Linked DNA regions of Oryctolagus cuniculus. The protein of the gene in region 4 purifies or fractionates together with the protein of the main gene of each other region. This does not show direct contact. Links are inferred from orthologs where the notes say so. Each region holds a gene or a part of one and is shown on either strand. Other genes may lie near its edges.

Evidence for each region. Proteins that work in one complex are often made in the same cells at the same time.
Region 1: the proteins of CD2BP2 (region 4) and SART1 purify together in Homo sapiens (affinity purification with mass spectrometry; 4 studies listed by BioGRID and IntAct, with this or other methods). This does not show direct contact. The link is inferred for Oryctolagus cuniculus from reciprocal best matches to the Homo sapiens genes CD2BP2 and SART1.
Region 2: the proteins of CD2BP2 (region 4) and DHX38 purify together in Homo sapiens (affinity purification with mass spectrometry; 3 studies listed by BioGRID and IntAct, counting the BioPlex papers as one, with this or other methods). This does not show direct contact. The link is inferred for Oryctolagus cuniculus from reciprocal best matches to the Homo sapiens genes CD2BP2 and DHX38.
Region 3: the proteins of CD2BP2 (region 4) and USP39 purify together in Homo sapiens (affinity purification with mass spectrometry; 5 studies listed by BioGRID and IntAct, with this or other methods). This does not show direct contact. The link is inferred for Oryctolagus cuniculus from reciprocal best matches to the Homo sapiens genes CD2BP2 and USP39.

What each region holds. Positions count from the first base shown.
Region 1 is NC_091432.1:5,810,983-5,815,482, forward strand, and holds the end of SART1 (U4/U6.U5 tri-snRNP-associated protein 1), read right to left. Parts: intron 3,102-4,500; coding exon 2,928-3,101; intron 2,841-2,927; coding exon 2,730-2,840; intron 2,642-2,729; coding exon 2,554-2,641; intron 2,179-2,553; coding exon 2,088-2,178; intron 1,979-2,087; coding exon 1,843-1,978; intron 1,596-1,842; coding exon 1,506-1,595; intron 1,422-1,505; coding exon 1,300-1,421; intron 1,131-1,299; coding exon 1,112-1,130; 3' UTR 1,046-1,111; downstream 1-1,045. UniProt on the Homo sapiens protein: Plays a role in mRNA splicing as a component of the U4/U6-U5 tri-snRNP, one of the building blocks of the spliceosome. May also bind to DNA.
Region 2 is NC_091449.1:55,169,534-55,174,033, forward strand, and holds part of DHX38 (pre-mRNA-splicing factor ATP-dependent RNA helicase PRP16), read right to left. Parts: intron 4,477-4,500; coding exon 4,268-4,476; intron 4,166-4,267; coding exon 4,011-4,165; intron 3,667-4,010; coding exon 3,511-3,666; intron 3,417-3,510; coding exon 3,282-3,416; intron 3,084-3,281; coding exon 2,958-3,083; intron 2,474-2,957; coding exon 2,378-2,473; intron 1,136-2,377; coding exon 1,014-1,135; intron 1-1,013. UniProt on the Homo sapiens protein: Probable ATP-binding RNA helicase. Involved in pre-mRNA splicing as component of the spliceosome.
Region 3 is NC_091433.1:117,034,962-117,039,461, forward strand, and holds part of USP39 (ubiquitin carboxyl-terminal hydrolase 39), read right to left. Parts: intron 3,449-4,500; coding exon 3,354-3,448; intron 2,255-3,353; coding exon 2,118-2,254; intron 1-2,117.
Region 4 is NC_091450.1:6,706,225-6,711,172, reverse strand, and holds CD2BP2 (CD2 antigen cytoplasmic tail-binding protein 2), read right to left. Parts: upstream 3,381-4,948; 5' UTR 3,251-3,380; exon of another isoform or gene 3,106-3,250; intron 2,995-3,105; exon of another isoform or gene 2,726-2,994; 5' UTR 2,700-2,725; coding exon 2,625-2,699; intron 2,462-2,624; coding exon 2,326-2,461; intron 2,220-2,325; coding exon 2,062-2,219; intron 1,940-2,061; coding exon 1,504-1,939; intron 1,418-1,503; coding exon 1,311-1,417; intron 1,222-1,310; coding exon 1,111-1,221; 3' UTR 894-1,110; downstream 1-893. Other genes in the region: sesquipedalian-1, read left to right, coding at 4,250-4,861. UniProt on the Homo sapiens protein: Involved in pre-mRNA splicing as component of the U5 snRNP complex that is involved in spliceosome assembly.

The DNA of each region.
Region 1 (4,500 bases), on a different chromosome or scaffold from region 4:
CCTGGGGCTCAGGAGGTGGAAAGCAGCAGACACTGGCAGCCCGGGGGGGCTTCCTGGAGGGGGCCTCTGAAGGTGTCTGAAGTCCCTTTGCTTCCTCGGCATTAGTGGTCTGCTGGGCCCACCACAGCTGTAGGGCAGGCCTCGGCTTTCTCAGCCAGGGCCCATCGCCACACCAGGGTCACCAGGACTGCCCGTCCCCAACACCGAATTCCCCAGCTGGAGACGCGGCTGGACACCACGCACACCCAGCAGGTGCCAGGCCCGAGACCGAGGGAGGGTCTGGCGGGAAAAGCAGCAGCAGGCCTGAGTGGGGACCGGGAGTGCGAGTGGCGACCTGGCCGCAGAGTGGGCCCCGGTCCCAGTCGTCATTGTCAGGGACGCGCACTTGGTCCTCAGATCTTCCCATCCCGAGACGACATGTTACGTGTTCAAATCCGGCTGCCTGTGCTAACGGGGAGCGGTGAACCACCAGGGCCGTGACGGGCGTCTGCGCCGTCACCTGCCCGTGGACTCCGGGCTCCAAGGAACCCCTTCGCGGAGTCACCGTGGGTGGACACCCCCGCGGGGGAGGAAGCCCCTCCGCCCCGCAGAGCCCAGTCCCTGGGCTGCCCTGTGGACACGGGTCAGGGTGACTGGGCGGTGCCTGTGCAGCCTGGGAGGCCAGGGGCACCAAGTCTGAAAACACCCTCCCCCCGTAGCAGAAAGCTGGCCCTGCAGGGCCGGGGGCGCCAGGACCCCCAAGGCGGGCTGGCCCCGCGGGGAGGAGCCCAGCAGGGATCCCGCCCTTCTCTCGCTCTCACACTGGCGTCCGCCGACCGCCGGGTCTCCCTGGCAGAGGCCAGACTGCATACCCCAGGGGTCCGGGGACCTGCCCCATTCGCTTCCAGGTGCACGCGTGAATGCGTGAACAAACGCGGGAGTCCATGGAGCCCCCACTTGCACGGTAGGGCGCGGAGGGGCTCGGGGAATTCACACTGCGCCCTGGGGTCGGCCCGGCCCACCCCCCGCCCAGCGGAGCCCTGGAACCTTCACCACGACCAGGGAGGAAAAATAAGGAGGGAGCTTTATTTACTACGGGGGGGGGTGGGGGGGTGGGGGGGGGAGGCCGGCCTCACTTGGTGATGGTGTTCCTGCGAGAGAAACGAGCGCGTCAGCAGAGGGGCAGGTGCCCCGGCCCCGCCCTCCGGCCCCGCCCCGGCCCCACCCTCCGGCCCTGGCCCCGCCCGCCCTCCTGCCCAGGCCCCACCCTCCGGCCCCGCCCCCTCTGCCCCTCCGGCCCCGCCCCCCAGCCCCACTCACGCGTTCATGCTCTTGCCGCTGCCGCTGAGCACGATGTAGGGCGTCTTCTGGGCCTTCTGCTTCTCCTGCAGCAGCGCCACGGTGCCGAGCGGCGTGTCGCTGGAGCTCATCTTCTTCAGGAGCTGTGGGCCGGCCGAGGTCAGCGCGCGGCCCGGGGCGGGGCCCGCCCGCCGCCCGCCCGCCGCCCGCCCTCACCCTGCACCCACCGCCTCCTCGTCCAGCTTCTTCATCCGCCGCTCCGTCTTCATCTTGCCCGAGCCCTTCCCGTGGAAGCGGTGGGACAGCTGCCGGAAAGCCTGGGGACACAGGGCGTGGCGGGCAGCTGCAGGGGCCTGGCGCGCCTCCACAGGCACAGGGCCACCCCGCGCTGGGCTGAGGCTGTGGAGGGGGTGGGCGAGGCCCCGGCATCGTGGGGACCCAGGCGGGGTGTGGGGGGGGGGCGTGGGGCCGAACAGGTGCAGGGACCCAGCGCTGCCCACGGAAGGCAGAGGTCCCGACAGCTCACTGGGTCACCCCCACCCCGTGGGCCAGGGCCCCGCTCACCTCCTTGGGCGTGAGCTTCCGGCCCGTCTCGTCCACGTACTCGATCTTCACGTCTGGCTTGTAGCCGTCCTTCTCCTTGAAGTCCTGGGTGAAGCCCCGGTACTCCTCCCGCCGGCTGTACTTGTCATCGATGGCCCTGCGCGCGGCGGGGGCGGGGCCTCGGCGTGAGCCCCCGCCGCCCCCCGCAGCCCACCCGCCGCCCCCGCGCCCGCCCGCGGCCGCCGCCCCCGCGCCCGCCCGCTCACATCTTGTCCTCGATGCAGTACACGGCCGAGGGCAGGGACTTGTTGGGTGCTTTCACCCGCGCCACCTTCTGCACCGTGGTCTCCAGCAGCCCTGCGGACAGAGGCCGTGAGGCTCTGGACGGGCAGCCTCGGGGCAGCTGGGGGAGCCGGCGCCGGGGGGGGTCAGGGCGTCAGGCCCGCTTTACAGACAGAACTGAAAACAGCCCCGTGCCAGGGCCACCGGCCACCTGGGTGCTGACCCGTGTCCAAGCCAAAGCCACCGCCGTTTCCCCGCCCCCGTTCCTCCCAGACAGAGCCCTGAAGGCAAAGCCGCAGGGACGGGTGCCCGGGGCCGCCCTGCATGGGGAAGGGCGACGGCTCAGGGCTTGGGACTGGCGAGGAGGCGGCGGCGGGGGGGGGGGGCAGCAGAGGACAGGACCGCGCCACCCAGGGCCTCCCAGCCCCACCCCCCAGCTCCGGGGCCCACCTTTGTTCTGACACAGGAGCAGGGCAGCGGCCAGGCCTCTGTTGACGATGGGCTCCTCGTCCAGGATGGTGGTGGAGGAGGCAGAGAACTGGGGGAGCACGGGGTGGGGGTGAGCGGAGCACCGGGCCCCTACCCCTCCCAGCCCAGGGCCCCGCCCTCCCCGGCAGCGCCCTCACGTCCTGCTGCTGCTTCTCCTCGTCCAGGTTGACCGTGCTCCAGCCAATGTTCTCCTCCCCGTCGGATTCGGAGCCGCCGTGAGCTGAGCGCTCCTCGTCTCGCTCAAAGTCCTGGGGCCGGAAGTGCAGGTCAGCCGGGCAGCCCCGCCCCGCCCCGCCGGCCGCCCCCTCCCGGGGACAGAGCAGGCCCGGGCGCACCATGAGCTCCTCCTGCTCCTCGCGGTTGCCGGCCAGCCCGTAGGTGGGGATCTCGCCCAGGGTGCGGCAGAACTCGGAGGTGGCGTTGAACACGATGGCGCCCTTGCGCTCGGGGTCCTCGTCCTCCTCCCAGCCCCGCTGCCGAGACTCCAGCTTCCTCACGATCTCCACCACCTGGGGGAGGGAGCGGCTGTGGGCAAACCCAGAAGGTCCTGGGGTGACGCCATAGAGACCAAGGGACCCACAGGCCCGCCCTCATGGCAGCAGGCCACTCCCACCACGCACACGCCTCCAACTGGCCGCTCCTCCCGTCCACCTGTGCACCTCCTCCCGTCCACCTGTGCACCGGGCCGCTGCTCTGCGCCACAGCCCTCCGTGGCCGCCTACGCTGAACTAATCCAGGATCCTGCACGCCCCTCCCCTGACGAACTCCCACAGCCCCTCCTCCAGAGCCCCCCCCCCCCCGGGGCGCACGGCGGCCATCCTGCCACTCACGACTCCCAGTCTGGCCTCTTGCTCCCACCCTGGGCACCACACCTTCTGCCCCCCTCCTGGCACGGCAGATGCTCGGCCGCACACACACGAGGGAGGACCCCTAGGGTCTCCCCTCTCTAAACCCCCAGCTCCCGTGACCACAAACTCCTCGGAGAAGCTTCTAGACACTACATCCACTTTTGCACCCCCTTCCTTTCACTTCCCCCCCACAAAGACCTATTTATTTATCTGAAAGAGCCACAGAGGCAGAGGCAGAGAGGTCTTCCATCCGCTGGTTCACCCCCCAGGTGGCCGCAACAGCCGGAGCTGCGCGGATCTGAAGCCAGGAGCCTTTCCCAGGCCACAGCAGGGAGCTGGATGGGAAGTGGAGCAGCCAGGACTCGAACCAGCGCCCATTTGGGATGCCGGCACTGCAGGCGGCGGCCTTACCCGCTACACCGCAGTGCCGGCCCCTTCACTCTCACTACGTTTACTTTTTAATGAACACCATGAACATGAAAGGGCACATCTAACACATGCACAGCTTTTCAATAATAAAACGGGGCCAGCGTCGCGCACTGCCCCGTGGCCCGGCGGCCTGGATCCGAGAGCTGTGAGAACGCTGGCCGCTCTGCTGCTGCGCCAGCCCCTGCCAATGTGCCCGAGGGCAGAGCAGGCGCCAGTACTCGCACCCCAGCCGCCCACGGCGAGCCCGGATGGAGTTCTGGGTTCCGGCTTTGCTCTGGGCCGCTGCAGTCATTTGGGGAGAGCCCTGAAGGCAAAGCCGCAGGGACAGGTGCCCGGGGCCGCCCTGCACGGGGAAGGGCGGACGGCTCAGGGCTTGGGACTGGCGAGGAGGCGGGGCAGCAGAGGACGAGGACTGCGCCACCCAGGGCCACCACGGACACTGGCCTGACAGTTCCCATGCTGCCTGGGATGCCCACCCCCACACTGGGGCACCGGGGGCCGAGTCCTGGCTCTGCCCGACTCCAGCTTCCTGCCGACTGCGCCCTGGGAGGCAGCGGCCTCCCCTGCCCCCACGGGAGCCCCACTGAGTTCCTGACTGCGGGCCTCGGCCTGGCCCAGCCCCAAGTTCTTG
Region 2 (4,500 bases), on a different chromosome or scaffold from region 4:
ACCTGCTTCTGTCCAGAGTTCCAGGGAGGTATGTCGTCATTCTTGGGAGACCCTCAGACCACATCTAATAGTGAATGCTGATGAGATGACTCGCGGGGGGATCCCTAACAGTCTATGCTAACAAGATGAGTCAAGACAGGCCAGCCTGGCCAGAAAGACCAACCAAGTGTCAGAGTTGGGGCTCTGAGCCATGTGGTAACAGCCTGACCTCTTAGGAGCTGGAGACCACGTTCAACCACTTGACAATGATCCAGTCATTCATGCTTATGTAACAAAACCCCAGTAAATACTCTGGATGCTGACACCCAAGTGACCTTCCCCGACTGGCCTCGCCCAGTGGGTACTGTTAAAGGCCGATGTGTGAGAAGGCACCCGAGCCCTGCTGACACAGAAAGCGACTCCGCGGGAGCCCTCTCTCACCTGCTCCACGCAGCTCTCCCTGAGCTCATTCTGACTTGTACCCTTTTGCTACACTAAAACTAATGGTCCGTAGAGTGCTTTCCTCAGGTCTCTGAATCCTTCTAGCAAATTATTAAATCTAAGGGAATCCATCGGGATTCACAAATTTGTAGCAAGTTGGTCCAAAGTAAGAGCTGCCTCCCAACTGGCAACTGGTATTGGAAGTGAGAGCTGTCTTGCGGAGGACTGTACCCTGACCCTGCCAAGTCTGGCCTAACTCTGGGGTCAGCACAGAGGCAGAAAGCCAGCTCTCTACCCCCCTGTTCACTTGAGAGGTGTGAAAGGCCAGGCAAGAATGAGGGAAGCTTTCCAACCCCACGGCTTTGTCAGGAAGACGGCAGGACCCGCCCTGCCACCCCGCCCACAGGGCCTCAGCACAGGACAGCTGCAGCTGCAGAAGTCAAACCAAGCCTTTCAAACTGTCTGGAACGCCTCCCGTGCTTCCACGTGTGACTACCCCACGCAGAAGTCACTTTGACAGGTCACCTTTACCCAGTCACCTTCTCTTACATCAGGGCCTGGTGGCCGGCGGCCTCCCAGGGGCAAGAGCTCACCTCATACTGCCCAAGGGGCTGCGCTTCTCCTGCTCCTGCCGCCGGGCTCGCAGCTGCTCCTCAGCCAGGGCCATCTCCTCCTCCATGGCAGAGACTTCTTCTTTGGCCCGACGGCGATTCTCCTAGACAAGGGGGATGGGAGTGGCTGAGTCCACCAGGGACCACCAGGAGACCTTGTCTGCACTCATGTTTCTGCCGTGAACAGGTGCTACGATGACCACGCCAGCTCTAGAGGAAGTGGCCACTCGGCTCCTGCCCGCAGCTGAGATCTGCTGTTTTCACAGATCCATTCCAGGTGCTGGATGATTCTGTCTAACCAGTCATGCCTCAATTCACTTAAGAACTTAGTTTTTCACCAAGTTCACAATGTCAGGAAGACATTACCACCTGGCAGGAAAGGACGAACTGAAGAAACGTGCAGGCCCAGTGTGGGGAAGCCCATGCTAGAAGGGACAAACAAATTCCCGCAGCACTTGGCAACCCTAAGGATGGATCCTAGCAGCAGTCGTCAGTGGACGTGACAACCTCAAGATGGAGTGGCAGAGAATTGAGAATGGAGGGACTAGGCTGACATCCCTGGATGTCCTCTGAAAGGAAGTTCACAACACCACGGGCATGCATCTTTGCCCGACATCACTGAACCATACCTTACCAAGCCTTTAGGTTACAGTAGGTCACAGAAAGTACATGCAACAGAGGCACAGGTTAAACACCACCATGAAGAAGCCCTCAACCAATTACATCAGTATTCTATAAATGACCTGATTACTCCAATAAATCAATGTCATTTTTAAAAAAAGGACAGGGTGGAGCCTGTCCTAGAATGAGAGAACATGCATAACCAATGGCAACGTTCAGTTCCTAATTCAAGCCAAGTGAGTCAGAAAAAAAGGGTAATCTGAATAAGGTCTAGAGAGAGGTGACACTGAAGGTGCATCTTGTTGGGGGTCATAACGTCCTTTCAGCCAGAGACTCACGCAAGTATTTATGTAAGAAACAACATGGCATCTGAGAGAAGCCTTAAGATACTCCAGGAAACTAAAGCAGATATGGCTGGGAGTGAGAACATGTGAAGACTGACTGACAATTAGGGGGGCAAGGTGACAAATCCAGGGTGGCTCATTACACTGCTTTTTTCTACTTGCATGACTATTTGGACTTTTCAGTAATTTCAATACATGAACTTCTTAAACTGTTTTCAGCCAACAGAGCCACTGGAGTTGGGTGGTTAAAGGAATCAGACCAGGCTGGCCAGATCCCAGTTTTCAGGTTTGAGAGAGAAATAAGGGGTCAGATGGTGACGAGCTGAGGGACAGTCAGCCCCATGGGCAAACGGTGCCTCCATGGCAAGCACAGGGTCTTACCTGTCTCGACTTGCCTGCCTGTTTTACACTGTAGAACATCGGGCCCAGCTCTGCCAGCCACTCTCCATCCACGGCCGTCACACACTGCATGTACTCCTGCAGAAACAAGGGCAGTAAAGTGGAGGTCACGGGAGGGCCAGTGTCCCTCCTAGAAGGTTCCACAATGAGGAACCATACGAAAAAGGCCCCAGCCTTGGCCCTGCAGGGCTGAGAAAGGCAGGAGAAAGGCCCAAGCAGTGGAACTGTAATCCCATTTCCCATCCAAATTCCTCCACACTTGAGAAAACACACACCCCACTCCCCGCCCCCAGTAGTGTCTGAGAAAGGGCCAAACCCTTCTGATGACACCAACAGGGGTGGCCCAGCCCAAGCAGCAAACAGGAAACAACCCTGCAGGCTCCACTGAGGCCTCTGCATTCTACAGGCTCATCTGTAGATGAGCCAAAAACAGTTCCCCAAAATCCCAGCTGAAAACCAACCCCAGATGCAAAGCAATGCACAAGGCCTCAAGTCTCCTAAGCCCAAAGTTCGTGGCCCAGTAGGTAGGCCTGTGTATGGGAACACCTTGGAAAAGCCTCACCTTGGTGGTCATGACCAGCTCATGGTACACTATGTAGTCTGGGGTGTAGCCCATTCCAAAGAGGGAGCTGGTGGGATGCAGGTGGCAGGGCATCCCCGTGCGGATATTCACATACTCCCCGATTCCCTAGGAAAGACAACAGGTGGCCATGTCAGGAACAAGTGGCCTGATTGGGCAGCTGCCCCATCATTTAACACCATCCTCACACAGACTTTGGAGGAAGCCCAGCCCTGCAGAAATGCACCATGAGATAGGAAGAACTTTGTCCTCATCCAGGTATCAGCCAAGAAGGTGCCACAGTCCCACCAGACGGCCAGAGCTCACCTTGAGCTTGGCTGCCTGATGAAAATAGGCCGCACAGATGCACTTCCTGACAATGTCCCAGTCCGTGCCACACGAAGCCAGGCTCATCCGCTGCTGCACCATGATGTCCTTGAGTTGGGCCCTCACCTCGCGGACCTGCAGCATGACGAGGAGGCCAAGATGGAACCCTCCGTGCCCCACCCGCCACCCCTTATCCTGACATGCTGCCATCTGGGTTGCAGTCGCCCACCTTCCGCATGGCCTTGGCGTGGATGAAATGGTCGTTACACCAGATGGTGGAGTAATTGTTGTTCTTCCACTGCAGGTAAACGTTCAGGTAGGTCAAGTGATCACTCTCGGGGACAGCGAACTTCTCCCGGATCTGATCGCTCTCCTCCTCGCGGCCCTAGCAAGGGAAAAGGAACTTTACCCTGAGCACGGTGGCGTCCAGCCTGCTCAGCACACCCCTAACCACACAGGGGAGAGGAGATCATTTACAATGAAAGATTTACTCTCTGACGTGAGGGCTCAGGCACAAGCAAACGAAAGATAAAAGATGCTCTTGCGAAGTTCCCCATGGCTCCCTGATCCAGTCCATCTTTCCCTTCCCCCACCTTGCTAACGGCCGACAGCAAACTCAGTCTCTGGAAGCTGATTCCTGCCTCTCCACTCCATTTCATGATGCAGAGAGCAGCTCTTCCCCTCTTAACCCTCACAGGGCCGGCCGCGGAGACAACATGGATGCCCCACCTTGGGCCTGTAGAAGATGGCGGGAACCGAGAGCATGGAGACGATGAGCAGGATCTCGGAGCTGCAGCCCATGTCACAGGACACAATGAGCATCTTGGACAGGGCTGGGTCCAGCGGGAACTCCACCATCAGTCGCCCGGTGGAGGTCAGACCACCTGGAGAGGAGCACACCCAGATTCAATGAGACAGCAGACGAGGAGCACCTCAGGCCAGCACCAGTGCCCACCAGGCCCCACCAGCTCCTGGGGCTGCAACACCTGTGTTGTCCAGGGCCCCGAGGATCCAGAGCTGATACATGGAGTTGAGCATGTTGTCCTCTGGTGGCGGGTCCATGAAGTGGAACTGCAGCAGGTCCTGCACCCCCAGGGACTTGAGCAGCAGCACCACGTTGGCCAGGTTGGTCCTCTGGATCTCAGGCACAGTGGTGGTCAGGAGCTCATTCTTGTAGGCACTCTGGGTGTAGAGCCTGCGAGGGAGAAGACCCAGGTTC
Region 3 (4,500 bases), on a different chromosome or scaffold from region 4:
CCATATGTGAGTGCCAGTAAGGGTCTGACTGCTCCACTTCTGATTCAGCTTCCGGTTAATAAATCCCGTGAGGCAGTGGATTATGGCTGAAGTGCTTGGGGCCCAGGCACCCACAAAGGAGACCTGAATAGAGTTCCAGGCTCCTGGCTTTGGCCTGGCCCACCTGTGGCTGTTGTGGGCATTTGGAGAGTGAACCAGTGTAGATGGAAGATCTCTCTGCCTTTCAAGTAGATGAAATAAACAAACACTGGTGCCAGTACAGGGTGCAGTGGGTACAGCCACCGCCTGCAGTGCTGGCATCCCATATGGGTGTTGGTTTGAGTCTCAGCCACTCCCCTTCCAATCCAGCTCCCTGCTAATGCACCTGGGAAAGCAGTAGAAGATGGCCCAAGTGCTTGGGCCCCTGCACCCACATAGGAGAACCACAAGAAGCTCCCAGTTCCTGGCTTCAGATTGGCCCAGCTCAGGCCACTGTGGCCATTTGCAGAGTGAACCAGTGTATGGAAGATCTATCTCTCCCTCTTTCTGTAACTCTGCTTTTCAAATAAATAAATCTTCCCAAAAAAATTAAAAATATGTACCACTTGCTAAGAAGGAAAATAATCAACAGTCCAAAACTAACTGAGGCCTACAACAAAGACTTTTCACTCTCTCCACTTAAGAACAAGATCCCAGAGCCAGCTCTGTGGCACAGGTTAATCCTCCGCCTGTGGCACCGGCATCCCATATGGGTGCTGGTTCTAGTCCCAGCTGCTCCTCTTCCAATCCAGCTCTCTGTTGTGGCCTGGGAAGGCAGTAGAAGATGGCCCAAGTCCTTGGGCCCCTGCACCCGCATGGGAGACTGGGAAGAAGCACCAGGCTCCTGGCTTCGGATCAGCGCAGCTCTGGGTGTTGTAGCCATTTGGGGAGTGAACCAACGGAAGGAAGACCTTTCTGTCTCTCCTTCTCACTGTCTGTAACTCTACCTCTCAAATAAATAAAAAAGAAAAAGAAAAACCTAAAAAAAAAAAAAAAGAAAAGAAAAGAAAAAAAGAACAAGATCCCTTGGCACAGGTCTCAAATTGGAGCTCCCAGATGGGACACGCCACATCATGGATGAAAAGGAGCCAGAAATTGTTATGCAGCTTGATATCCACTGTCTATGCCAGGCTCAATTCATATCTCCACTCTAAAATATGGAAGGATAATTTATTTCACAAAAGCACTTTATGGGGCAGATGTTTGGCACAGTGGTTAAGTTGCCATCTGGGATGCCTACACCCATAGTGGAGAGCCTGGCTCAATTCCAAGTTCCTTCACTTCAATCTAGCTTCCTGCTAATGCACACCAAGAGGCAGCACTTGGGCCCCTGCCACTCATATGGGAGACCTGGATTGAGTTCCAGGCTCCTGACTTCAAAATGGCCCAGACCCAGCTGTTGTAGCATTTGAAGGATGAACCAGTGGATGGAAAAACTCTGACTCTGTGCATCTCTCTTTCAAACAAAATTAAAATGACAAAATTTTTAAAATCCTCCAAACAACAAAAGTACTAACTCCTATTACAAAGTAGCCACAGGCCCAGCATTGTGGCACAATGGATAAAGCTTCCACCTGTGACACTGGCATCCCGTATGGCTGCTCACATCTGATCCAGCTCCCTGCTAATGTTCCTGGGAAAGCAGAAGATGGCCCAAGTGCTTGGGCCCTTGTATCCATGTGGGAGATCCGGAAGAAGCTTTTGGCTCCTGGCTTTGTTCTGGCCCAGATCTGGCTGTTGCAGCCATTTTGGGAGTGAACCAGCAGATGGAAGATCTCTCTGTCTCTAACTCTGCCTTTCGAAAAAGTAAAATAAAAAAATGTTTAATGTAAAACAAATCTGTAAAAAAAAAAAAATGGAACCATATTTCTTCAGTCCTGGCCCTCACCGTTAAGACAGAAAATGACATTCAGGTCACAAACCACAGACCACAATTATGAATTCTGATGTTACTCGCTTTCCTTGGTTCTTCCCAAAAAGAAGCCTATTAAGGCCAAGAGACTGAGGGTTCTTCCCCTCACCATGGGTGACATAGTTCCCAGAGAGCCCTGTGAAAGCTCCCCCATCAATCAGCACCAAACCAGCCCTCTTGGACACACCGTGATGTCCTCCAGCGAGGAGTCAATGATCTCGTAGTTGTCTGGGAGGCAGTAAAACTTGAGGGTGTGGAGGTTGAGGAAGACATGATGGCTGAACTGGACGCTGTGAATGTAAGCATGAGACTTCAAACCCCGGCCTGTAGGGAAGGGTAAAAGGCTGTGAGACAAGGGCACGTCCTGGAGGGGCACAGATCAGGTTTGCTTTCCCTTTCGTCACCTTGCACTAGAACACGTTACAGTCAGCAAAAACAAAGCACTCTGCCATTCATGAAATGACTCTCCCACATGAACGTCTCTCATCACAAAAATTAGCAAGAAAGAATAGCACAGTAGTTCACTTCATTCCCTACACAGCGTAAGACATTAGCTAAGGAAACCCATTTCAAAATGAAAATGCATGTGATATATGAGTTAGTTTCATACAGGCCACAAGTCAGGAATAGCTCATGTGTACATGCACATACACACGGGCACACGGACGTATCCTGTGACAGTCCAACATTACTGAGTCCTGAGTCTCCTACTGTCTGTGTCAGGCCAATCCTGCACCCATGTACCCTCACTCAGTCTGGAACTCCTGGACTCTCCCCCTCTCCACCCATTCAAATCCTCCATGTCTTGCTAGTTCAAGTCCCACCTTACCTCCTCCATGAACTCAAGATAACCTTCCAGCTAACACTGATTTTTGCATAGTTCCTACTGTCCTTATTTTTACTGTGACACAGTCTAACAGTAATCTTTATTGTCTTGTAGCACTCAATGATTGTTTCATGAGTCAACTTTGACTCTTTATAAAAGCAAAAAATGTAGTTTGTATCTCTAAAGTAAAGAATGTAGTTTGTATCTCTTTTGAATTCTTCCCAATACCATGTATACAGCACTGGTATGAATGAGTGGAAATAAAAAAATAAAAAAAAAGTCCTTAGAACAAAAGCCTTCTCCAAAAAGATACACGTGTAGAAAACAGTAGAGATTCAGAAACCCAGAGTCTTTGAGATCATAATCTTTCATACAACTCATTCTTTCTTCCTTTCACATATATTCAGATTTTGACTGCAAAACTTCCTACTGGTATTCTAAAAGTACTCCAACTTCCTAGGAATAAAGATAGGAAATCTTACACAGGACTCCTGAAAGTAGTTTACTTTATTTCAAAGCAACAACAAAGCTCACTGGAATACACCTGCAATTGGCTCTGAAAACTTAACAATTTTATAATTTATAACGTTTATTTACCCTGAAAGTACTTGCCACACACCAAACAGGCATACGCGTTGATATGCGACAGGGAGATGGAACACAGTTTCTCAAAGTCAAAGTCTAGCACACTCCTATAAAAACCAAAACAGAATAGAAAAAATAAAAATGATTAGGACTGGACACCTGGGAGAGCATCCAAATGACCCAGCCTTGCCTCTACATCCCACAGTGTTACACAGCATCATTCGGAGAACGGCTTGGCGGCCATGAACACTAGTGTTCCCCACCTCCACCACAGTGCCCCGAGCAGCATCAGGGGTCTCCACAACACACAATGCCCATGACCTTCTTTCTTACTAGTATTTGTAACCAGCCACTTTCTCTGGAGGGAAAGCTACAGCAGAACTAAAACTAAAGTAGCAGGGCCCAAGAGTATTCTGTGGATGAGAGGACATGAACAGAGTGAATAAACCCTTTTATAAGAGAAAAATGGAATTTTGCCCATAAAAATAAATGGCAAGTCTAAAGACTTTTAGGAGAACAACTACAAACAGGTCCATTTATTCAAGTGCAAGGTAATAGTATGTGAGTACTGGGTAATGAAGAATAAAAAACTACCTCCACGGAATCCATGGATAGCAAAAGGAGCACTGCTGACGTATTAACTCTTACCGACTATGATCCCACAGAACTGCACTACCTAATACAGGGGTCACTAGCAACACGTGGCTATGGATAATTAAACTTTAGGTAACTAAAATTAAATGAAATCTGAAATTCAATTCTTCAGTTGTATGGTATAGAAGCCACATTTCAAGTACCCAATAGGCGTATGTTGCTCAAGCTTTCCTTGCTGGACAGTCCTTCCCAAGGGCAATTCCATTACTGCTCAAAGCTCTGTAGGCAGTGCTACCCTGGGACACAGGCTGGAAGGTATCCAACATGCCACCTCCGACTCAGTGAAAAAAATAGCATAACGAGGTGACTATTTCTGCTTTCAAGAAAATTTTTGTTATCTTCCTACTGAGTCCTAGGCACCCAGAAAAGTACCGCGTATGTAATCGGTACTCAATAAATACTTAAATTTGCTACTACAAATTATTACAACACACAAACTCAACATGAGCTAAGAGCTCTTCATGCATATGCCCACCCTTAAACAACATGCTCTCTGACGTTTCTA
Region 4 (4,948 bases):
GCCAGCGCTGTGGTGTAGTAGGTTAAGCTTCCACCTGCAGTGCCGGGATCCCACATGGGCACAGGTTCAATTACCGGCTGCTCCACTTCCGATCCAGCTCTCTGCTATGGCCTGGGAAAAGCAGCAGAAGATGGCCCAAGCCTTTGGGTCCCTGCACCCACGTGGGAGACCCAGAAGAAGCTCCTGGCTCCAGATCGGCTCAGTTCCAGCCATTGTGGCTATTAGGGGAGTGAAACAGCGGATGGAAAACCCCTCCCTCCCTGTCTGTCTGTAACTCTGCCTCTCAAATAAATAAACCTTAAAAAAAAAGGGGGGGGGGGGGGCAGCGCTGTGGCACAGCAGGTTAATGCCCTGGCCTGAAGCGCCAGCATCCCATATGGGTGCTGGTTCTAGTCCCAGCTGCTCCACTTCCAATCTAGCTCTCTGCTATGGCCTGGGAAAGAAGTAGAAGATGGCCCAAGTCCCTGGGCCCCTGCACCCACGTGGGAGACCCGGAAGAAGCTCCTGGCTCCTGGCTTTGGATTGGCTCAGCTCCAGCCGTTGCAGCCAACTGGGGAGTGAACCAGCGGATGGAAGACCTCTCTCTGTGTAATTCTGACTTTCAAATAAATAAATAAATCTTTTTTAAAAAAATTAAAAAAAAGAGAATTCCTGCTCATCCTTGGTCTTCGAGACGTCCCACTAACACCTGCAATTCCTGGGCCCGGGGCTCAGGTCCCCAGCGGCTGTGAGGACAGAGGAGGCGAGGTCAGCACAGCGAGAAGCCCGCGCAGGCGCAGATCAGGGCGGGGCCCACACAGGACACCTGCCAGTCAGGGAGGCGGGAAACGAAGGTGAGGAGGGTTCAAGGCACCGGGGAGAGACCACGGCAGAGGAAAAAGCGTACAAACACATAACAGTCTGAAGGGCTGTGGAGACGGCCCCCGGCTCCTGGCCGTCAGCACAGCCGAGGCCCTCGCACACCACTAAAGGCATTTTATTGGGAAAAACAGAAATTGAAAAGTAGCCTCCAATCTTCTCCCTGCCCAAGGCAGCTGGGGGCCGGCTCCCCCAAAGTCCAGCAGAGAACGGGGGAGGTGGGGGGGGCGCCCAACTGGGCCCTCCGCAGGCTCAGGTGTAGAGGTCGAAGTCGATGCGTTTGGAGTTGTAGAACTGACCACCCGGGGGATCCAGCTTCCGGCAGTAGACTCCGTCTGGGAAGTAGCCTTCGCTCACCCAGGTCTGCAGGTAGACAGGGCGGGGCTGACACGGCGGGGCGGGGCGGGCCGGGGGTGGGGCGGGGCGTGCGGGGGAGGGGGGGGGGCGCTCACCTGCATCTGGGCACTGGTGAAGGGTCCGTAGAGCTCGGCCTCCCCGGTGTTCTCCCACTTATATTCCCACATCACGTCCACCAGGCCGTCGCCCGCCGACTCTGCCTCTGCAACCAGAGGCGGAGCCGATTGGAGCTCCACTGCCCGGCCTCCAGTCCACACCGCTGCCCCTCCTCTGCCCTCCAAAGCTCACCTTCTCTCTGGGGAGGGGTCGGGGTCTCCAGCTCCCCCTCAGCCACCTCCTCCGCAAACATGTCCAGGGAGGGCGGGGGCGTGGAATCCTGGGCCCCCTGGGTCCGACACCCCAACCCCTTCAGCCGCATGGCCAGGCGCTCTCGAGTTTCCTGGTAAACGCCAAGGTTGCCCCGGGCCACCATCTGGTCAGCCAACCCAGACAGCCGGTCCAGGCGCTGGGGGGAACTGGGCCGCCCGGGCCCCTTGCTGTTCCCTTTGCCCCCTCCTCGGGCCCCCAGCCGCCTCAGTGCCCCGGCCACTGTCTCCCTGGGCAGCAGCAGCTCTAGAAGTCCCTCGAGGAGGGCTTGGGCGCTCAGTGGTGTCTGGCCCAGGCTGTCCTCCTCCTCCGAGTCTGAAGCCCGGCGCTGATCCGGGGGCCGCTCCCTGATCTTCACCTAGAATGCAAGAAAGGGGTCAGGGTCGGGGGCTGCAGGGGGTTGTTTCCTACAAACCTGCTCCAGGAGCCCAGATCCAGCCCCCCCACCCCACCCCAGCCGTGCTGAGCCCTGGGCCGCACCCAATCAATATTGTCCAGCCAGCTGTCCTGGATTTGAGCGTCCCGGTTCAGGAAGTAGTTGCCATCGGCATCAAAGTGGCCTTCCTCCATCTCCTCCTGCAGGTTGAAGGGAGTGATGCGCACCCCTCCCTCACTGGGGAGCGTGGCTGCTTCCTGACCTGCATCAGAGACAGAGTCGCCCCATGCGAGGCATGCAAAAAAAAGAGAGAGACAGGAACCTCCCTCCCTCAAGTCCCCACTCGTCCCTCCCTGGGTGCTACTCACCTTCCACATCCTCTGAGGCCAGGATGTCATACTTGCTGGACCCCTCGTCGTCATCATCCTCTTCATCGCTGTCCAAGGAGTGCTTGCCTTTGAAGCGGCTCCCGGGACCCCCGGGCCCAGTCACGGGGTCCACCAGCTGAGAGCAGGAAGGGAGAAATGCAGAATTCTCAGCTCCTCCCAGACTCCAGCATCTGCACCCAAGCTGAGCACCCTCCAAACCCAGTCCTGGGGGACCTGCCCTCCTCTTCAGGCTCCGCTCTGCCTCCCCTCCCCCCAACAAAACGGTCTGGCCCCCTCACCTTCTTCCTGGGAACACTGACTTCATCCTCATCCTCGTCTCCCACGCCTTGGAAGGTCACTTTCCGCTTTGGCATGACGGGCCAGGGGGGCTTCCCTTAACCTGATGGGGGAAAAGTTGCAGAGGAAGCGGCCTGAGCGGGAGGCCACCCACTGCAAGAGAACCCTGGCCACAGGACACGCTTCCTGGTGCGTGCCAGGTCCATTGGGAGGGAAGAGCACAGAGAATCGGGGGCCAGAGCGGGAGCTGCAGCCCGGAGGCTCCCACGGCCTCGGCTCGCCATCCCAGAGCTAACGGAGCTGGGACGCCAGGCCAGACGCGGGGAGTATCCCCACCCCGACGACAGGGGCCCGGCTCCCCCACGTGACCACGCCCATATCCGGCCTCCGCAGTCTGAGCGCTACCGGGCTCGGCGGGCACACACACCCGCTCCCGCAACCCCAAAGCCCTCGGAGCCCGCGGGGCCCGGGCCGACCCAGGACCTGGCGCTCCCGGCCGCTCTGCTCCTCCTCCTCGCGCCGAACTCCCAATTCCACGTGGTTGACCCCCCAACTGTCCCGGGGTGTGTACAGATTAGAGGGCGGCACAGCCACGGGGACTCCGGCAGCCAGCCCCGCGCGCGCTCACCTGGGGATCTAGGGGAGGCAGGGGAAGAAAAGGAGAGATGCTTTCACCAGGGCTGTATCCGGGGCACCTGGCCGCCATCACCCGGAAGCGTACGGCGGAGGCCGGAAGTGGCTTCACTCCACTTGAAGGACTAACAGGAAGAGCGGGCGGAAGTAGGTAGTGAGCTAGGCGGCAACCTCCAACCCTGTCCCCCGCCAGGAGTGACGTGAGCCGCGCGGGTCTGCAGCGGCGAGGAGTGTGCGGGCGCCTAGACCCTGATCGGCGCGGAGGATGCCCCGAAGTGGCTTCGATGCCCTCACGCAGCCTCTGGGGGATGCAACTCCACTTAGAGGGGAGCCCAGGGTCAGGATGGAGGGGCAGAGGAGGAGCAGAGCCGATGGGTTCCAGCCCCAGGTGCCCCTTCCGGGGTTCGCACCACCGTTTCCCGCAGACTGGCCAAGTGCCTTACACTTGTCAGAGCTGCGCCCTCTCCTAGCGTGAGGCGCGGCCCTGCTCTTCTCCCTAAGGGAAGCCAGGCTCACCTGATGGCCTCTGAGGGCACTTGGGACACTTTCAGAACCCAGCCGCCTTTAGGACCCAGGGGAAATCACGTGCTCCACGCCTGTCCGCGGAGCCAGTTCCTGATTTCTGAGGCGGGGCAGCCACTGCTGCAGAGGTGGCATTGTCGCGGGTGCCCTGTGGCCAGCCCAGAAGCCCCTGTGCCTGCTCTCAGGTAGGCCTAGGAAAGGGCAATGGTCCCTCCGGCACCACAGCGGTGGGATGAAGCCCCCGCCCCCTTAGCAATCAGGGCCCAGCGACCCTGCCTAGGTGATGGGATTTGAGGCGGGGAGGTGGGCGGGCCTGGCCCTGGGTGGTGGGACAAGACAGCTAACGCCCAAGGGTGTGCAGGCCAAGACTGTGCCCAGGCAGAGCCTGCTGGAGCTAGGAGGGCGTGAGCATCCTCCCAGGCAACCAGGGGACCACTCCTCTCTCCCCCAGGGTCCCTCCAGGGCCACCACCATGAAACTGCACCGCAAGTCTGTGCTCAGTTTCTTCCAAGGCTGCAGAGCCCAGGCCCCAGACCAGGAGGGCATCTTGCTGAAGAAGGGGGCCCGAAACAGCAGCTACCAGCGCCGCTGGTTTGTCCTCCGTGGAAACCTCCTCTTCTACCTGGAACACCAGGAAGCCCACACTCCCCTGGGCCTCATCCTGTTGGAGAGCTGCCGGGTGGAGCCTCGCCTTAAGGCCGCAGAGCCCTTCGCCTTCACCATCGTGACCCCCGGGGGAGAGGGCACAGGGGGGCGGGCCTACAAGCTGGCCGCAGAAAGCCAGGAGGAGCTGAGGGCTTGGCTGTGGGCGCTGGCCGGGGTGAGCTGGAGGCGGCTGGCTAGGCTGCTTCCCCCCATGGAGGCCCAGTACCGGGAGCTCTGCCAGGCGGCTGGCCAAGAACCCAGGTGCCCCGCCGAGGACTGTGGCTTTCTAGCCATCCTCGGGCCCCACTCCAGCTTCCAGGAGCTGCACGAGCGCTTTGGGAAGGAGATCCGGGTGCTGCTGGCAGTGCACAGAGGACTCCGGGAAGCCAGGTCCCAGGCAAAGCTGGAGCAGCTCAACCAGTGTTTGTCGAGTGACTGAGAGGCAGACCAAAGGCCAGGGAGTACCCGTCTGCAGAGATCACCGGAGACCCAGGCCCTGGCTCCTTCCCACCCTGCACCCTAATCC